Drosophila melanogaster: one gene and its partner. The protein of the gene in region 1 interacts with the protein of each later gene in a pairwise test. Each region holds a gene or a part of one and is shown in the gene's direction. Other genes may lie near its edges.

Evidence for each region.
Region 2: the proteins of Sln (region 1) and Bsg interact in a two-hybrid assay, tested with the Drosophila melanogaster proteins (one large-scale study listed by BioGRID).

The regions. Positions count from the first base shown.
Region 1 is NT_033778.4:11,841,674-11,853,294, forward strand, and holds Sln (silnoon), read left to right. Parts: upstream 1-3,650; 5' UTR 3,651-4,404; coding exon 4,405-4,437; intron 4,438-7,223; coding exon 7,224-8,190; intron 8,191-8,291; coding exon 8,292-8,744; intron 8,745-8,803; coding exon 8,804-9,409; intron 9,410-9,485; coding exon 9,486-9,612; intron 9,613-9,673; coding exon 9,674-10,055; 3' UTR 10,056-10,651; downstream 10,652-11,621. Other genes in the region: CG34229 (uncharacterized protein), read left to right, coding at 51-89, 173-406; S2P (site-2 protease), read right to left, coding at 636-1,649, 1,717-2,154, 2,206-2,280; CG43190 (uncharacterized protein), read left to right, coding at 2,841-2,993, 3,052-3,243; Mgtor (megator), read left to right, coding at 11,083-11,233.
Region 2 is NT_033779.5:8,085,493-8,093,782, forward strand, and holds the start of Bsg (basigin), read left to right. Parts: upstream 1-2,811; 5' UTR 2,812-3,024; intron 3,025-3,117; exon of another isoform or gene 3,118-3,213; intron 3,214-3,610; exon of another isoform or gene 3,611-3,901; 5' UTR 3,902-4,171; coding exon 4,172-4,244; intron 4,245-8,290.

The DNA.
Region 1 (11,621 bases):
AATAATAATTCAACTAGAAAATATAAAGAAAAAAAAACAATTAAGCAGAAATGTCCAAGTTACCAAAAGCATCACTTAGTTTGAAGCAGGTAAGCAGGTTTAAATCATTTTTATGGTTTTCCAAATATATTAATAAAACTAACAATAATTGAATGAATTGATTACATTGTAGTTTATGCTGCGCCAGGAAGTACTGAAGCTCTACCGGGAAATATTTCGAACGATTCGTCAGGTTCCCGACAAAAACAGCCAGCTGGAGCTAAAATCCTGGGCACGGCATGACTTCCAGACGAATCGCCATCAAAGTGACGAGGTGGCCATCAAGATGCTCCTTCAGCACGGCAGACGCAGCCTCACAGAACTAAGGACCAGCCTCCAACTGAGCGGGGTGAGCGAGGGCAAATAGGATCAGTCTTGAACATAAATCTTAGCTTAATTTGATTTTATTTTTGAGCTCGACAACCGTACGAAAATAAATACGAGTTAAGACTAAGGACTATGACAAAAAGCTATCGAATCTTTGAGGTGCTACAATTCGCTGTGTTTTTGTGTGTTTCGTGAAGGTGAAATAGCAGTCTAGCGTCTTTGCAGGGAGTTGAACTCCCAGGATCCATTTCAGTTTTCCATTTCAGTTCTTAAAGCAGGGGTCGCAGAAAACTCAACCAGGCCACCTTAAGCAGGGCCAGTGCAAAGAGAAGGGAACCCACGCTGGTGATTATCAACGAGATGATATCTCTCTTGGCATGCTGATCCACTCTGCCCACCAAGAAGCTGTGTATCACGGTGCTGGTAATGTGGGCGCCATCGAAACCAAAGCAGGGAATGGCATTGATCAACGCCAATCCTATGCTGAAGACCACGTTATACTTGAGGAGCAGCAGCCAGGCATCCGGCCAGGCTGCCTTTAATAAGCTATATCTCGGCACAAAGGCGGATACCTCCACAGTTCGAGTGACATCCCATGGATGGCCCACATAGATCACCGGCGGCAGCTTCTCTCCGCGAAAATTCTGTCGCTTGAACGTCATTATGGCAGTGATATTTCGTATAAGCGGTCGTAGGCAGAATCCCTCGTTGCAAACTCCGGACGAGCAGTGCTCGGAGACCTCCTCCAAAGTGCGGCGCACATTGAGACATACATGCTGCGGCAGCTCCACCGGCACATCTCCATTTGCGTCCTCCACCACCTCGAAGCAGCTTACGTTCGGATTTAGTTCATCACAGCACTGTAGCTGACCATCAATGCTATGATGTGAGATGGCGCTGCTTTCGTCGTTAAGCTGCACGAAGTCCGCACTCACACAGTAGCCCGGCTTGAGCTTCAGAGAGTTCTGCAGGCATGTCACCCAACTCTCCTCGCTGTTTACTGGGCAGCCGTTTACTTGGGTTATTTGATTGTCCACTTGCAAGCCGCGCTCTCCCCTCAGCGGGGATTTCCTTGTTAGTTCAGTGACCACTACGTGTTGGTTGTAAGCGTACAAAGGTGACATAGTGATTCCCACCGTTGAGATTAAGAGATAGCACACGCCAGCGAACACAAAATTATGCCAGATTCCAGCGCACAGAACACGTAGCTTGCGGAACCAACGTAGACTGTTTAAGTGGTCGTGGGAGAGCTCCGTGTATGCTAACGGCAGGCAGAAGATGAACTGAAATATTAATATTTACCTAATTAGTAAGCGTATTAGGTTGTAAAGTACGCTATATCATTCTAACCTTTATTCCAAACCCGGTGACAGGCACATCCTCCATCACAGCGGCCAGGGCGTGTCCCATCTCGTGCACCACCAAGCAGAGCACAAGGGTTGTGATGTAGTATCCGATCTCCTCCAACGGCAAGTTGACGCCGGGCAGTAGAATTTCCAGCTGCACAGGGACTCCAACGGGCGAGGATACAGACGAAGAGCTGTCTTGTTCACCACTGCTGAAGATAGTGGCAATGAGCAGGATCAGACCGATCGGGAGCAGAGAAAAGGTGACCAGGACTCCTACATTAAAGCTGGTGATCATTACTCTCCGGGTGCAGCTGTTACCGGCAGATCCCCAGCGTAGGAGGGTCCTGTTAAAGGCACTCGTGTGCCAGTGGAGGCTCATGAAATTTATACTCAGCCCGGTGTTCTTGAGGAAGGCATCGTACGGGTAGTGCATGCAACTCTAAGGGATTACATTAAGTATCTGGACGTACTTTGGCTGGATATACTACACCTTGAAGAAGCGGTCGAAAAAGTAAAGAACGCCATAAAGCGATGCCAGTACTATGAAGAACACGAAGGGATCCATGGCTGGTGAGGTCTCAAGATGTCATTGGTTTGTTGGGATTAGGATGGTGATGCGGATTCTACAGTTGGGGGTCCTCCGGTTGCTGGACGTCACTTGCGAATGCTAGTAGTCCCTACCGGACGGGATTCCTTCCCGAAATCTTACTCCTCTGGTCCCGACTCCTTATACCAGCAATGCTGTGTAGTCCAGACCAGAAATCAGCATTAATCACGTCTGGGAATCTTGTGCGCAAATTAACCTGCGTAAAAAATCGAAATACCAAAAGCTAATCGCAATCGATTGCAGAACTTATCGATGGCCGCTTTATCAATAATACCGATAAGCAAGCTTATTTGGGCGCGAAAGTTTTGAACATTTTCAACTATTCAACGTCAAACAAAGAAAACTGTTGAACAACTCAAAAACAACAATTAAAATTTTTTTATGAAAATGATTTGCTTTCAATATAAAAAAATTCAAAATCCATTGTGTTAAGTGACTTAAAATACATCAAACACATGAGCGAACAGGAATTCTCATATAAGAGACTTTTGCCGACTTGCAGGCTGATCGTCTCCATTATGGCCTGCGTATCCTGTATATCGGGCGTGGCTGCCGGCTATCTTTTCATGACCAGTTTATCAGGTGTCTCTGAAGCGGTAAAGATTGTGTGGACCACCGGATCGGCTCTCTATGCATTATCCTCGCTCCTGTTGATTATTGCAGTTTGGAAGGTTAACCTGAAGCAAAATTAATTGAGGAAATATTCTTAAGAATCCTGTGATTTTGCAGTTCATTAAATGGCTGGCCTATCCATACATGTGCATGCTGCTCATGGCCATTGCCGTCTACACGATGATCCTGCAGTGGCTACTCAAGAACCTACCGGCTGCCGTTTTCTCATCTGTGGCCATCAGCTTTATATTTCTTGGAGTGGCGTTGAACATGACCAAAAGCCTGGAAGAACTACGCACTTCTCTATAGAGCAATGCAAAGTGTTCTCGTTTAGTTTTGGATTTATATTATAAATTTGCCGTGCAGTAATCAAGAGCAACGAATACACCTACTTTGATTAAAATTGAAAAATTATAGGTATATGAAAATCTAGCATGAGAAATTGTAAAGTTACATTTGTTAAATTTGTGTGACTTTAATTCGTAAGGCAATTCGTAATTCATTCATCAGCTGTTTTCAGAAATAAAAGTAGGTGGTTCTGGCAACAGGCGGCCAAAAGAACCTAGCAAAACAAAACGGATGAAAACCAATGGAAAGGAAGAGAGGACCTCTTACTCTTGTTTTTCCTTTTTCCATGCCGAAACTCACCACCACCAAGTTCACCTTAACTGAGTTGGGTTTTCAATGGACCTCCAGAGGACATGAGTATCATCAGTTTAGTCGTGAGCTTGAGCAGCAGCAGAACAGTCGCATCCGCCAAAAAGGGCAACAAACGAAGAGTACTCACGAAAAATAAAAAGGCTTTTGCAAAGGGTTTTCCCAATCAGAGAAAGTGTTCAATAGCTTCAGGCGTATTTTTAACCAATTTAACTCACTGGAAGGATCCAATTCGTTCGATTGTGATTGAGTAAGCTAAGAACAAAGGACTTCAGCTGGAATCTCGCCCCATATCGATTTGTTCCAAAAACTGCATATTCGCCAGCGAGTGAGTGAGAGAGTGCGCTTGTGCCGAAAACGGATACGGAAGGGGGCGACAAGGAAGCGGAAGCGGAAACAGCTGCTGCATAAACAATAGTAACAGGGAATACTGTGTGTCACATCAACGCATCATGACGCCAGAGCAGCAAGGATATTGCCCCTAGGAAAACCCATACAAGTTCCTCAAGGAAGCCCTCAAGAAAAAGCGAACGAAAATCGCAATCGATTCGGAGAACAAACCATCAAGACGAACCCGCAAAGGATTCAGTGCCAAAGGAGCCGTTCCGGCAGAAGCAGCAGTAGCAAGAGAGTATTTATTTTGGGCCAACCGGTGAAGGCCCGCGAACGTCAGCTCTTCAGGACTTTAAGGACCCAAAGCAGAGGCAACCCAATGCATTTGGGTGCACAACAACAACGCCCCAAGCAACAACAACAACAGCGCGAGCAACAAGAGAAACATCAAAGGCGTTTCACGTTCAGTAAAGGACGGCAATGTCGTCCCTACAGCGTGACTGGCATTTACAGGTGAGTAGTACTACCCAGCATCCCATTATCCTTACTTTGGGAAGGTCAGGAACCATCCCCCTTGATTCCTCCTCGCTGCCTTTTCTGGGGAGTGGGCCAATGGCAATCGTATTGAGGTAGCTGGAGTTTGGGTTCCTCTGGTGAGCATGCGCACTGGACCAGAGAGTGTTTTACGAGTACGTAAACATTGCAAGCGACAGGAGAATGGGTCAACGTCACAAGTTGCATCCATCTTAGTCGCTTTAGAAGAACGGGGACAAGAAAGTAAACAATACATGCCCCGACTGCTGATGGAAAGACCGAAAACCACAAGCCAAAGTTCAGTCGTGGCATGGTGTTGACCTTTAATGACACCTATTAAATCGAATAGAAGTGTTCATTTCTACTAGTTTTGACACAAATGAAAAGTAACTTTTTATTATGCTTATAATTATACTTACACTTACAATCGTTGATTTTGTAAACACTTAAAACATGAATTTTGAGCCAAATTTAAGTAGGTGTTTACACTCGCATATGGGAGTACAGCATCCCTACACTTAAGCATCAATGTCCTGCTGATTGGGTGAACTAATTGGCCTAGGCCTGTGCAACCTAATATCTATTATTACGGAGGGCTAGCAATTACGGGTGGCTCAACAAGTTGTGCGTCAAGTCCTCCCCACTAGATTCCCTCCCCGACTAGATACCACCCTCGACCAGCCGACTTGAGGCCACCCCTTTCACCTTGACCGCTTATCGTTCAGGCCCACACACGAGCGCCAACTAACTTGGCCCGGGGGAAGGTTCTTCCGTTTCATTAAGCGCTGGCAAAGGCCTTGAAATGTTGGGAAATTGAAAACAACCAGCGATTGCAGAGCTGCCCCAGCGAAAGCTTCCTGACAGCTTAAGCCGGATTCCAGCTGACAGCAGAGGGTGGTCTTGGGGGTTCTTGGCGTCCAGGATATCGTATACCATCGCATGCCACGGCGACGTGGGCCTTTGACATTCGACAAGGTCACTGGCTCTAGGATGCTGTGACTCATGCTCTTGAGGGGGAGTTGCCAAATGCCAAGAGTTGGCCAACGCTCATTAGTCGTGTCAGATGTGTGACTGCATTTTGCACTCGTTCAAGAATATTGCATGCCATCTATTTGGCATATTTCTACCATCAATATGGCTGACAGTTCATAAGCGGCACGAAGTTCGACAAATGACATGCCACGTAAACAAAAGACAAATTTATTAAATTTACTTTCAAAGTTAGAATTCAATTATATAAATTTACTTGGCTTTATTAAGCATAAGTGATGTTATGATTTGTTACATTTACCATGCAATATTTATTCGTTATAATAATTATTGATTATTTGCTCATTAAGAACTGACATGCTTAGATAGGATACTTAAGTAAAAGCAAATAAAAAGGTTGACTAAGGATAGAGCGCTTCACCTAATATATTGTGCATAGGTTTAACCAGCGTTGGGCACCAATCCTTCTTTCTAATGGGCACACACGTCGCATACTTGATATTTGATGCCAGCAATGTATCATATTTCGTATACGTACGTCATTGGAAGTACCAAGAAATAGGTGGGAGCGGGACAACTAAGTGCGAAATAAGAAGCTATTAGGAAATGAGTTATTACGAACTGTTGGTTATAACAATAAGATTGCGACAGCACATAAATATTAAGGGGGCAGGTGTTGAAATCTAATTAGGAATAGTTCAATATGAGGTAAAAATATTAACTGTGCACATATAACATAAAGTTTTAAATGTATATATTAGTTAGTATGTATAGTTGAGCTGTTGGCATGGCTGTAAACCCAATAATACCTTACATCAACTTACCGAATTTCGTTTTTGACTGCTTTCCAATTGTGTCCTTTCTACGAGGGCTTGGCAAAGATTGGCGTCTTATCAGCACGGGTATATTTCCTGGCATTAGCCTTCGGTTCGAGCATTGCATCGTCCTTGGATTGGAGCAAACACCCACCACTGCTCCTTTGGGGCCAATCGAACCCCCCATCAATTTCCGGCAACAAAGACAGAAACTAAAAAAGTGCTGAAAGGCAACCGCATGCCAGACCAGACCCACCTCGCTCTTGACCCTGAGTCGTCGGAAAATGGAGGTTTCGTGGGAGGAAGTGGCAGCGGATCCCGCAGACAAATGGAAAATTCCCAGACGTCATGCCAGCCCGCAAGGCACAGCATGCACCTGCAGCCTGGCATCGATTTAACAAAGTACATATAACAAGAAAATCCGCTCGGTCCGCGGGTAATTACATAGCCCAGCGGAGCGGGAATCGGGAAGGAACTGGATGTTAACTCAATTAAACAAAACGTATTGCATACATTAGGTCGTTGCAGCGATGTCGTCTATAAGGCGGCAGATCGCGTGCGCTCCTCGCATTTCGTTTAGCAATGCAAATTGGGCTAAGTTGTTGCTTCCTTGACCCGCCTCCAGTCGATTTGTCAACAGCCCCGGATTTCTGACGGGGTTTAACCCATTTTTGAATGCTACGGCGGAGGCGGAATTTTTGGATGCACGCCAATTTGGGACATTAACTTTTGATGTCTACTACTTGATAAGAACTTTCGCAATTAAATTGGCCCATTTTCTTGGGTTGCTTACTTCGTTAACTTGTTATGTTATTTAATTGTTATTTAAAAAAAACATCCCTCCATACTCCATACTCCATATCTTAAACACACTTTCATAGATTTATATTAAATATTGCACTAGATAACCAGCATATTTAATGTTTAACGATACAAAAATACTATTTATGTTTTTCGCAGGGTTCCCGGGGATCGGTTTACTGCGCGAGTGAACCGGACCCAACTGGTGGAGTCCAGTACGAGTCGGGAGGGTGCCTTCTCCACACGAAGACGGCTGAGGGCTCCGGCGGAGGGGCGGGCGTGGACGGGTCCGGTGGCGGAGTCGGCCTCGAATGCGGCTCCCTGTTCTCGGTGGTATCAGCGCCGCCGGCTCCACTGCCCGACATCGTTGTGCCCACCGAGATGGATGGCAAACACATGGAGTCCGCCGCCTTCCGCTCCGGATGCTGTTCACCCAACGCCTCGCCCATGCGACGACCCGCCACCCTCAGCCTGGACACGCAATGCTGCCCGAGGACCCTGCACGCCAGCCTGCTGGAGCATCAGATCTCCGAGCTGGAGGAGGACGACAATGAGAACCTGCTGACCGTGTCCAGCATCACGGCGCGACCGTTGATTGCCAAATCGCATGAGCTTCGCAGCAGTCGGAAGTCGGGTTCAGGTTCCGGATCTGGTTTGAATACGGCCCGCAGCAGGTGCGTCCGCCGGGCCAAGGAGCGCGAGCGGGATCGCGTGACCGTCGCCAGGCGTAGCAAGCAAGTGGTCAAGGATCGGGACTCCTCAACGACCACAACGGAGAGCGGTGGTCCGAATGTGGAGCCACCGGACGGCGGTTACGGTTGGTTCATCGTCTTTGGGGCCTTCTCCGTGCAATTCTGGGTGGCCGGACTGGTCAAGTCGTACGGCGTGCTGTATGTGGAGATTATGGAGACATTTCCCAGCTCTACGGCCACCGTGGCCTCCTGGATTCCAGCGATCCTGTCGGCTCTATGTCTGGTCCTGGCCCCGCTGTCCAGTGCTCTTTGCCAGCGATTCTCCTGCCGAACGGTGGTCTTCGTCGGCGGCATTTTCTGCGCCATGGGCATGATACTGAGCTACTTTGCCACCAGTCTGCTGCACCTCCTCCTAACATTTGGCGTACTCACAGGTGCATAATGTATAATCAATTTAAATTTATCCTCATCACATTAGTAATTATATTTATTTAGTTATCATGATGTTTATATTTAACTATTTCTTCACGCCCAGGTATTGGAGGTGGCCTCTCGACTACTCCGGGCATAGTGATAGTGTCCCAATACTTTGACAAGCACCGTGCATTGGCCAATGGAATCTGCGTTTCGGGCACTGCCGCCGGCAGCTTCATCCTACCCGTTCTGATAAAGCACCTCGCGGAGAACTGTGGCTTCCACGGCACTATTCTGATCCTGGGCGGTTGCATGCTTCACGTGTGCGTTTCGGCCACACTTTACCGCCCAATCAGTGCTTACACGGATCAGGACTCGGGCCAGGGACAGGAGGAGACGGCAAAGCCCCTCAACGAAGACATCAATCCGAGCACCACGGGCATTCTGACTACATCCACCTACCTAGACACCTGCGATGTGGGTGCAGGCCACGAGCTGAGCGACAAGTTTATCGAGCATCTGTTCCTGGAGGAGTCCAAGAACCACCTGAACTACTATGCCAGCAAGCAGCCAGGTGGGAGTATTATTTCATCGAGGAAAACTCCAAATAATAAATCCCATTTGGTTACTTAGCCCAGGACAAGTCAGCGCAGGAGAGTGACGACGAGGTAAAGGATATTATTGGCGAGACCACTTTCATCAAGCCCATGAAGAAGGTGCGCAGTTCCGGATTGCTGCACTCCGTCGAAGATCTGAGCACGGACTCCACTTGGGTCTATCGCAAGCACTCCGGCACGGACTCCAATCGCGGAAGTCGTCGTCGGCGCAATGTCTTTGCCAACGACGAGGTGATATCCAAGATACAAGCCCACTTGGAGAAGCCTCTTTCGCCGCCGAGTGTGGTCAGTCGCGGACTCAGCAAGAGCATGGAGATACCCACTCCGGTTAGCAACCTCAGTGATCTCAAGCAGCAGCCGGTGGAGCAGGCGGAGCTCGGCATTCTAGACTCCCAGCTGGTGGAGTCCATTATCGATGGCGACGGCCACCTTGCCGCCGATGAGGATGACGATGACGACGAAGAGCGGGGACCACGCACTTGCTGCGAGCGCATCGAGATGTACCTGGACATCAGTCTGCTGCAGGACCCGAGCTTTATCCTGATGTGCCTATCCGTCACCTTGATGTCCGTCGGCTGTCCCTACATGTTGTACTATCTGCCCGCCCACGTTATTTCAATAGGTATACTATTTAAAATGTTCAAAGTATATTCTTTCGGCGTACGATTTTAAATATTATAAACTTGGTTCATCTTTAGGATACAATAAAAGTGAGGCGGGATACCTGGTGGCCATCAGCGCGGTCCTAGATTTAATTGGGCGCCTTGGACTTGGCTGGCTGTGCGACCTGCAGCTATTCGATCGCAAGAAGACCTACACCTTGTGGTGAGTACCAGATAAGGTTTATTTTTCGATCCAAACTAATCACATTTCCCTATATCGACAGCATTTTGGGCGCCGGATGTGCCGTGCTCACAATTCCCTTCGCCAAGACTCTGGTTTTGGTGGGTCTATCGGCCGCTGTCTACGGACTTTGCCTGGGTAGCTGGTATGTACTTATGCCGGTCCTCCTTGCGGACGTCTTTGGCACGGACAGGATCAGCTCGAGCTACGGGCTGGTGAGGATGTTCCAGAGCATCGGGGCCATATCGGTGCCTCCGCTGGCAGGACTGATGCGAGACCTTTCCGGAGACTACGAGATATGCTTCTACTGCATGGGATCCTGCATGGTGCTCGGGACCACTCCGCTGATTGTGTGGTCCATCCTGGAGGCCCGCAACCATCGGTTGTTTGTTCAGCGCGAGGAGGAGGAGTGCGAGGAGGCCTAGAAATGATTCGGATTCGTTGGTTGCCCCATATGTTAATAGTGTTTTAGTAGCGATCAAATACTAGTTGAGTTCCTGAGTTTCAGAGTTCGAATGCCTCACCGATATTGCTGATTCTACCAGTTACTATTACTACTATCCGTACGTTCTCATCCGTATCTTTGTATCTTAATCAATCCCCATGCCCACCCGCACCCAATCGCTTGTTATCCTTCCGTTGAGCAACAGCAAAAGGATGTGTAAGATGATGATATTCAAACGAAGAAACCAAACAACCTAAACAACCAACAACTGAGCACCAAATGTTGCGCAAAAAGAACTGAGTTTAAAAGACATGAACTACAAATACCCGTATATAACTTTATAATATGATAACTACGATCAATGCCCGACTAGATGGTTATATAGGCCGACTATAGTTGTAGGTTCGCACATCCATATCGGAAAGGACTAAACTTTGTGCAGGAAAAATTAAGTGGCTTTAGACAGAAGGGAGGCTTGAATGGAGAACATCACATTACATTACCCTAGAATTAAAATAGTTGTTGTGAGACATTTACCCATAAAGACAATTACCAAATAAACACGAAATCAAAAGGTTAATCGCGTTTTATGGAATTAAAGGGAATGATTTCGCTTGGTTTGGGTTTTGCATTCGTTTATGTTATTAAATAAAGTCCTTTCTTTTTTTATTCGTAATAAAAACGGATTTTTCAACCACGTTTAAAAAATTTTTTTTATGAATGAATTTATCTCTTTTTAAAGAAAAACATTTTGTTTTATTAGGCTGTGAATAGGCTGTTATAACGCTGTTGAAACAGTGAGAATAATATACTCGAATCGATAGTACCGAAAAATATCGATATTGTTCCATCTCCACTGCATTGACGTTCATTTTTTCGCGTCCCTAAAGCGACTTTGTGCACAATTCGCAAAAAATTAAGACTAAAGTAAAGTAAAAAGTAAGAAAGTAAACTTCGCACCGCTCCATATAAATTTAACCGCTGCTTGACAAGGATCAACTGCGAACATGGATCTCAGTGGTCCACAAACTCTGAACAACATACTTCAGCCCGACGAGTTGAAACTCGTGCCGGAAGACGTCCAGAAGAAATTGTCGGAGTACATCAACAATTTCTCAGATGAGTACTGCAAGAACCGTGCGGCCGCCAATCGGTTGGGTAAGTTTTTATATTTGTATATATACTAAAATGCGCCATATTTTGCAAATAACCCTTTATTTGCATGCGTATGCTTTTACCTCCAACTTTGCGGCGTTTACCGGCTCAGATACCGCTTCTTGTAATAAGCAATCCGCGACTGTATGGTTTCTAGCGTGGTAAACACTCTTGCGCCATTTACATATTTTTTGTATAGAAATTTAAATATAAAATTCCGGGTTGTTGCAATTAAAAACAATGGCTGCTTGCAGCAACATTATTTTCCTTATTAATTTTCACCTCACCGGTGTGGTAACACTGGCCGGACATTTTCCCACCAAAACAGTTGATTAGTCCGAGTTTGAAATCTTCAGGGAATTTCTGTGTATTCATTTTAATCCAAATACTT
Region 2 (8,290 bases), on another chromosome or scaffold:
CAGTCTTGTTTTTCTAAGCCTTTTAATTAAGGCAATTAAATTGACACCCCTCTCCCAATGCCCGCTTATTATTTCATTTTTTATCGGTCATCCGAGGTTCGATTTTTGGCCTCGGCTTAGAACAGCATCGTTTGTGTGTGCCGCTTGAATGTCGGAGTGTGCGTTGGTGTGTGTGGGTCTTGAGCGAGCGTACGAGAGAGCAAATAAACTGAGTCATGGCTGACGATGACGTTATGCTGCTGCTCTTTTCTACTCTATTATAGTCCGCTGCCTAACTTGCGGCTAGGGCAATTTGTCTCCAAAGTGTTTATGCTCAAAGTTTGCCAATAAAACGCGAAAGAAGGAACAAAAGTTTGGCACCAATGCCCGAACACGACTACCATGGCATTTAGCATTCGATTGACCTCGAGGCCAGCAGCAAATCGATAGCAATGTTTTTTGTTTCTCCTCCAAATCGATAACATGCCGCACAACACCGCCGCCCGCACCCCCAAGCCTCCCCCTTTGTCCACCAAAATGCGGCTTTGAAAACTAGTTTGTGTAGGATGCTCTCACTCCGTGATAAATCTGATTTGAGTTCTAATTAATTTGAAACGATACGATATCGATGAAGATGAACTCGTTTGCGTGCTCTAGCTATCACATTGGAAAGCTAAATTGCTATATATTTTGCCATTAATTTGATTTTAGTTTAAGCTAATGGAAAATTATCATCAGTGAGAATAAATTAGGTGGTTATGGTAATTAAATTTAATGGAATAATAATAATACCTAAATTGAAAGTCTAACACGTAAACGCCATGAACCATGTGGTCGTTTTTTGATAAATTTCACTATAATCTCTAAATTTCAAGATTATTAGTTATAAAGGCATAGTGGCCAATGCAGTACATAGTATATTAAATATTTCATCAATCACATTATCTGTCGACAGTTTTATTTTGTGCGAACACGTCAATTATGAGTAATAGATTTTTCGCTTTATCAACTGGCAAGAACTTTGGAAAATTTGTCAATTATTAGTACTTCTATTGTCAACTACAAGTCCTATGACTCTTCTTGCTTCTTTATTATTTATGAACTCATTGCAAGCATTGCAAAATGTTCTCTATGGTTTGGTTGTTGGAAACACCTCATCAAATACTATATACCCCCCTGATCGCTTTAATCTCAGCGGGCAATGCGAACAGCTGATTTCATATTTGCTCTCGCAAATTTGTAAAAATAAATACGGCTGACCAATAATAAATGCGACGAGACAACCCCCCTCGATGCCGCCAACCCGCAAAAAACCCCTACCTTTCCAACACCCATGCCGAATTAGCAAAGTTCCCTGCCTTCCGAAAAGATGGAGATCTACATTCGTGTGCGAACCGCATAGAACCGCCCGAAACCAGAGCGGCAGTGCGAGCGGGACGGCAATGGACCAGAGGCGGTCAGTTTGGACGGTCTGGTGGTCTGGGTCTTTGGGACTCGGCGACTGGGCCGCGGACATCTGACGTCGTTGTCGACCATGCTCCGGCTACGGTATTATATCATGTGGCCAAGACGTTGGTGTGGTTTTTGGTTGCGGTAGTATTGGTGTTGGTGATACGGACGGACGGACGGAGTCCCGTATTTGTTCAAAGTACTGCATTGGGGCTTTATCTTAATGCGATAGAATGAGAGTCGGATTCGTGACACGTTACGGAAACATTTCAACTGGCGTTCTATCTGCTCTGCTGAGGGCCGCACGTCGTCTGGCGGTAAACAAAAAATCCAGCGCACTATGATTTAGCGTTGTCCGTTCGACGGTTTTATTGCCAAAAGTTTGAGAATTTATTTTGACTAGTTTTTTTTGAGCTGTTTCCTTGTATAACACAATTGCTTTCAAAAATGTTTACGTGTTTTATGGCTTTTATTTTGGGGGGAAATAGAAACGAGTAAGAATTTTAATTCTTATGTAAGGTTTATTATTTTAGCTGTTTTTCAAACATTGATGCCTTTCGTCAGTTGAGGAATTTTAAAGCTAATGTTCATGGATAATGAAATCGGCCAGCTCTGGTGATAGCTTCTACCCTTTTTTTTTTCTTATCTATTCTGCTTACTCGGTGACTGTCCTCCCGCATTGATAAGAGTGGGAATAGTTGTTTTCTCGACACATCCGCAATACGAAATTCTAGAAGTAATAATAGATCTCGGGCCAATTGTTATCAGCTTTTATGCGGACGTCATGCGGTGAAGCAAATGGAATGCTATTTTTCTTCGATCGTCAAATAATTGGTCGTAATTACTCGCAGACTCTGTCACTTGGTGATTTTTGTTGAATCATTGCTCGATTGCAATTTGTTTGATACTGTTCCTTAAGTGCTTCTATAGGCTGAGAGAAAAGTGAATAAAAGTAGCGTACTTTCAGGCCCATACGAGCACAAGTACATTGTAATTCCGTCAATTTGGGAAATTCCTATTGAACTGTAAGATAAGGTTTCCAAGAGCAAATATTGATTAATAACTCAATTTATGGTTTTAAAATTTTTTTTAAGTTTCTAGCTAATTTAGTAGCTTGAAGTCAGACCTAGCTTCTGCATTTTGTTTTAAATAAAACAGGTGATTTCAAATTCCTAAAGATTCCTGTATAATGAAAAAATGTCGTTTAAACTCGATTTATTTTTCGCCATTTTGTACAGTACTCGTAATCGGTCTGGTCAAGATAACGGCCGAACTATTTAGATAAGCTGACAAGTGTATGTCAAACTGAACCCAAATCACTGTGCGTCGACGTCGCTGCCGCAGCGAAGGCGGCTACTCTCGTCCGTTGGTCATGTGTGCGATTCAGTCTGCTCGCTGAATTCGCCGCGTTCGCTCTGTTCGCTCTGTTCTGTTTGCCTCGTTTTGGCCCGTCCGTTTGCCAAATTTCGTTTGCTTTTTGTGTTCCCGTTGTGCAAGAACAGCCAAACAGAAACAACAACTACACTAGTACAAGTACGTGCAGCAACAACAATGGCCATTGGCTAAAAAGCAGCTAGAAATTGTTGCGCTCCTTGTGTAAAACATAATTATTTGCTCTCAGTCTCAAGAATCCCTCACTCTCTTTCTCTTGCTTTCACTCTATCTCCCTCTCTTTTGCTCGTTGGCTAGCCAGAAAAATAGTATTTTCGTCGTCAACGTGCCATAATTTCTTTTTTCTGCTTAGCCAGCAAAAAAATAGAACTTTTGGACTGGGAAAAGTTAGATGTGCGTTTGTGTGAGTGCGTGTGAAAAAAGAACTGCAAAAGTTAACGTTAAATTAGCGGGCTAAAAGAAAAACCCAACCACCCGCCGCCCCACTTATGTGAACAGCACGTGCTTAGCTGCAGTGAAAATAAAACAAAAAAAAATTAAATGTGACATTTGAAAAATTATACATTTAGCTGAATGTTGAATGTTGTTCGTTCGGCTTTCGTTTTGATTTTGATCTTTTCGATTTGTTTTTGTATCCTTGATTCCGCTCCTCTCCACAATCTCTTCTTAATTTGAATATTGATGTATAATTTTAAAAAGTTTTCTCTCACTCGTCTTTCCTTTTGCCTTTGTTGTTGGAAAAAAGCATACAAATAAAACCGAACGAAAAACACAACAAAAAGAATACGGGGAAGCGCACGAAAAGTTTGCCTTCATACGAAAATAAATGCAAAATGAGAAATTTTCTTAAATATTTTTATTTGCGAATATAGCTTCATGAATTAAGAACAAAATAGGAAAGCTGGAAGAGCCAAAAAATAGAAAAATTCGCACTCAAGCAAAACACCAAACGGAAGATCCAAAGCAAACAACCAACCAACAACATCAACAGCATCAACTAATATCAAATTAAATAACTAAGCCTAATAACGTATACATTTAAAGATCTATTTATAAATTAATATTTACCATAATGATTTAGTAAGTTAAGCTTAAAGTACAAAAAAAAAAAAATAAGAAAAGCAAAGAAAAAGAAACACCACAACCAACAACAACATCAACAACCAACCAACCAACAGCCACAAATAATTAATCAATCATTAAACGGAGTAAATTCACAAATCTGTAATAAATGCAAATGACAAGGAAATAACGAAAACGACAACAACAACAAGTCACCGCCAACAACAACAACCACACATCGGCAGCATAATTAACAACAACCAACAACAACAACGGATCAATACCAAAGATGGAGGCAAAATTCTTGGCTAGCGCTCTTTCATTCCTCTCGATATTTTTAGCGATTTATGCTCAATCACTTGGTGAGTACAGCCCCCCGAAAAAACCCCTCTAAATCTAAAAGAATGAACCCCCTACAATAAGCATAATGATAAACAAAGAAGGCCCTTTTAACCTATAAGTTGTACCCCGCCCATAAAATCACCCTGCCCCAACCACACACCCACCCATACACACATATAATATTAACACACCTATGTACGTAGCAGCCCAGTATAAAGGAATACAAAAAATATACATACATATGTATATGGGGGAAAGTATGGTTAAACTGCAGCTGTGATAGCAGAAATTGCAAAACAGAACACAACCGAACCGAACAAAGCAAAACAAAGAGGTGGAGCAAGAGGAGGAAGGGAATAAATAAAAAACAGCAGATTGTTTGTGGCTTACTGTAACACCCACTAACCTTATCCCACGCCCCCTAATTGCCCCGCCACCCAAAACAAAAGTGCACCCACCAAAGGGCGAGGGTGTTCGTCCACCCACCACCTGACTTTTACCCCTTCCAAGTTCACCCTAAAGCCAGACCCTAGCCGCAATAATGGAAACAAACAGTATTAATACGAGGCGACTTAAATCAATGGTAAAGTTATCGGAGAAATGTATCGATAATTCTTCAAATTAGGGGATCTCAGAAAGGGGCACTTTGCTGGTCCTTTAGCCACAAGACACAAATGGGTTTTACCAGCGATATTCGAAAATATTAATATATTTGAGTCCGCGCTTTTAAAAATGAAACTTTTATTTCGTTCACGTTCTCGTCTTTGAATAGAACCACAAAATGGACAATCACATTTCTTTTTTGCCCGGCTTTATGTATTCTCTTTTCATATTGCACGGGACACCATCCACCCACCAGCCACCCACGAGCCACCCACCATCCATTTTCCAACTTTGGACAAGGTCTCTGTGCTGCATTCTACTGTTTTGCCCTCTAGTTAAGCGGACTTCGATATTTTCGTGTTGCTTTTATAGTTCATATTGTTGGGTCGGTTGGATGGACTTGGGATTGGATTGCAGTGCTGCCATATTGACATTGTTGCTTATGTTTTTTCCCCCTGCCGTTTTCGTCGTAGGTTTTCCGTCGCTTTTCCACTGTTCGCGCGACCGCATTTCATTTGATTTTCAATTTTCCACACAATTGCTGAAAGAGAACAGCGGCGAATGTCGGAAAAAAAAAGCAGAGGAGCAGAAGCAGAAGCAGACGCAAAAGCAGAGTATCAAGTTCATTTCGGTTCTAGTGAGGGCTATCTTTAAGAATTTTTGTTTAGCCTTAAGAAGACTATTTTACATGCGGTCCAATAATTACGGCCTGTCTCTGGTTTTCCCCGCTTGTTTATATTAACTTTAGCCGACCCAAAGCGAAGCGGACCAGAACGAATCGATTTACCGATTAACCGATACGTGCCCGATACGTACCCGATACGAACCGGCAACGGTGGCCTGCATTTTGTTTACATATGGAACTGGGCAGCCCCGCCTCGCACCTTCCACCTTCCTTGGGGATTTGTCTATGATGCCCGCGCGGGCGGTTCCATCTATTTATTATTCTATGCATACTATCCATTTACCTATTCTACTTTATTCCATACATCCATCTATCTACATATCTATCCGTCCGTCCGTCTGAATATCTGAATGTCCGTCTGGCTCTGGCTCACTACCAAAACCTACGTATGTTCATGAATTTTGATTTTTTTTTTCGCTAAACTGAACGTTTGGCTGGTTTTGTTTTGTTTCGTACATTATTTAGCCCCATGCAGCTATTTTCACATTCAAGGTGTATTAATTGAGTTTTTTTTTCGTGCTGTTCATATGCTGGCATTTATTCATAGTTGATTGGGGGTATTCGTTCCGTTCAAAAGGCAGTGTGTAAATAATTTAAGGTTTTATTCGTGTCTTTATTAGGTTCTCTGATTGATTTGTTCAATTATTCATAGATACACAAAGTTTCGGCTTATTATGGGTTAAAAACGAAATGCAAAACTATTGTCCATTTTAGAACAAACCCATATCGTTAAGTGTTGTTGTACCTTACTCTTAGTTTTTATTAGACCATTTGGTATTTTTTGCACAATTTCGTTAGCGTACTAAATATTCAATGATTTTTCAAATTGTTTACGTAAATAAGCAGCCGAAATAAAAGAAAGAAATTACCGGGCACGCATCGAGGGAAAACCGGCATGGAAAAACAAGAAAAGCGATCCCTCCAGGGAGATAATGTCGGGTGGTACATACATATGTTGGCACTACATGAATCACTTTGGTTGCTTGTTGTTGGAAAGGGGGGGTAGGGGTGGCAGGTCGAAAACCAGAAAGCCAATTTGAAGAAGCATTCCTTTGTCTCCCCGCTGAATTTGCCCCACACCACTTCAAAGCCATTTTCAGCTAGTGGCGAAAAAACCACGTGTTGTCCAGGTGTTTATGCTGCGGACGAATGTGCGAAGAGCCAAAATATAATGCTGGTCTGGTCACACCACCCAACCCCCCATCCCATATTGCCCCCAAGTCTGAGAATATTCCATAGGTCTTGTCACATACATATGTACATATGTATGTACACTGTACCATGTACTCCTCCTTATTTCTCTTTTGTTTTGCGGAATATCCGAGCAGGTGGAATGTCTTGGCAAGTGCTTTCATTTCGGCTGTTGACTGCGCACATTTGGCTAACCAGTTTCATTTTGCCATGTTTATTTAATGACATTTTCATTACATTAATAAATGTCAAATATTTAAATTTCGGCTCACCCAGCAAAAGGAAGCCAAAGCAAACAAGTAGCGTAAAATGAAACCGATGTAAAGTGGGCTAAAAAAAAGGTTTAAATGCTTAAAATGCTATGATACTATTTGTATCAATATAAACTAAACTAAACTAACATTTAAAATGTTATCACAGGCGAAATATCATCTAACAAAGAAACTTTTGTTCCGCGACTTACAATGTTAATAAGAGAAAATGTTTAATTAAGCTGACTGTGTGCCCTTTTTCAATTACTTTATCGCTGGAAGTCTCTTATTGCACATAAATCATACGTATTGATCAAGAATCTCAAGCGGATTAAGCTGAAGTGAATTTAACTCCTTGAACGCCTAGCAATAATTCAATGTTGTTCTGGTTTCCCTTGCTTTTGCTGCATTTGCTATAAAAATACATTACGAATGGCAGAGATTGTCTTGGGTATCTGCATTCTGCATTGAATCCGAGATGATTTGTGCGAGATACGAGGCGGTGGCGGCAGAACCTGACTGTTTTGCTTCTTTTGCGCAAACATTATTTTTATTAAGACAATAAACATGAAATGTAATTTCCCTTTCAATGTCATCGTCGCCTGGCGTTGGCTTCAGTTTAGTTTGGTCTCATATTGGATTGGGTTGCGTCTGGCTGGGCTTGGGTTGAGTTTGAGTTTGGAACTTGAGTTCTATGGTTGGTTTTACATGACTACACACACACACACACACAGAGAGAGAAAGGCGTCATGGTGAAAGAAAGGCTTGGCTGGCAGTTTCTGGTTTCTATAGTGTTGCCATGATGCCACCAGTGCTTCAGTGTGGGCGTGGCAATGGCTTGCACTGCACATTTCCCCCGCATTTCTGATTGCACATTGTCTGGAATTCAGCGATTGCAGTGGAAAACTCCCTGCCTCCGCTTTTCCCCTTTACACCACAGCCCGTTTGTGCCACTGTCCGTTCGTTCCTTTTCTTTCCTTTCCTTTCTTCTGACTCTGGTTCTTGTTGTTCTTCAATATAGAGGTTGCCTTGTGTTTCCGGCCCGTGCCAGATAATGGTTGCTTAAACAGGGCACGTCCATAAATATATATACTTTCATATATATGCATATGTGTGTATGTACGGATGGTGCACAGAAATCAAAATCAAAACTCACGGCAAGGTGAACAACTCCAAATTGAAATGGTGTTCAAAAGTTGGATTACCAACCAACATTTACATAATCCATCGATGCCAATGAATTGTATATTGTTTAAATTATAAACTACTCAATCAGTCAGATTAAGTATGCTTGAAAATACATGATGTTATTCTAAAGATTTCTACGATATCATTG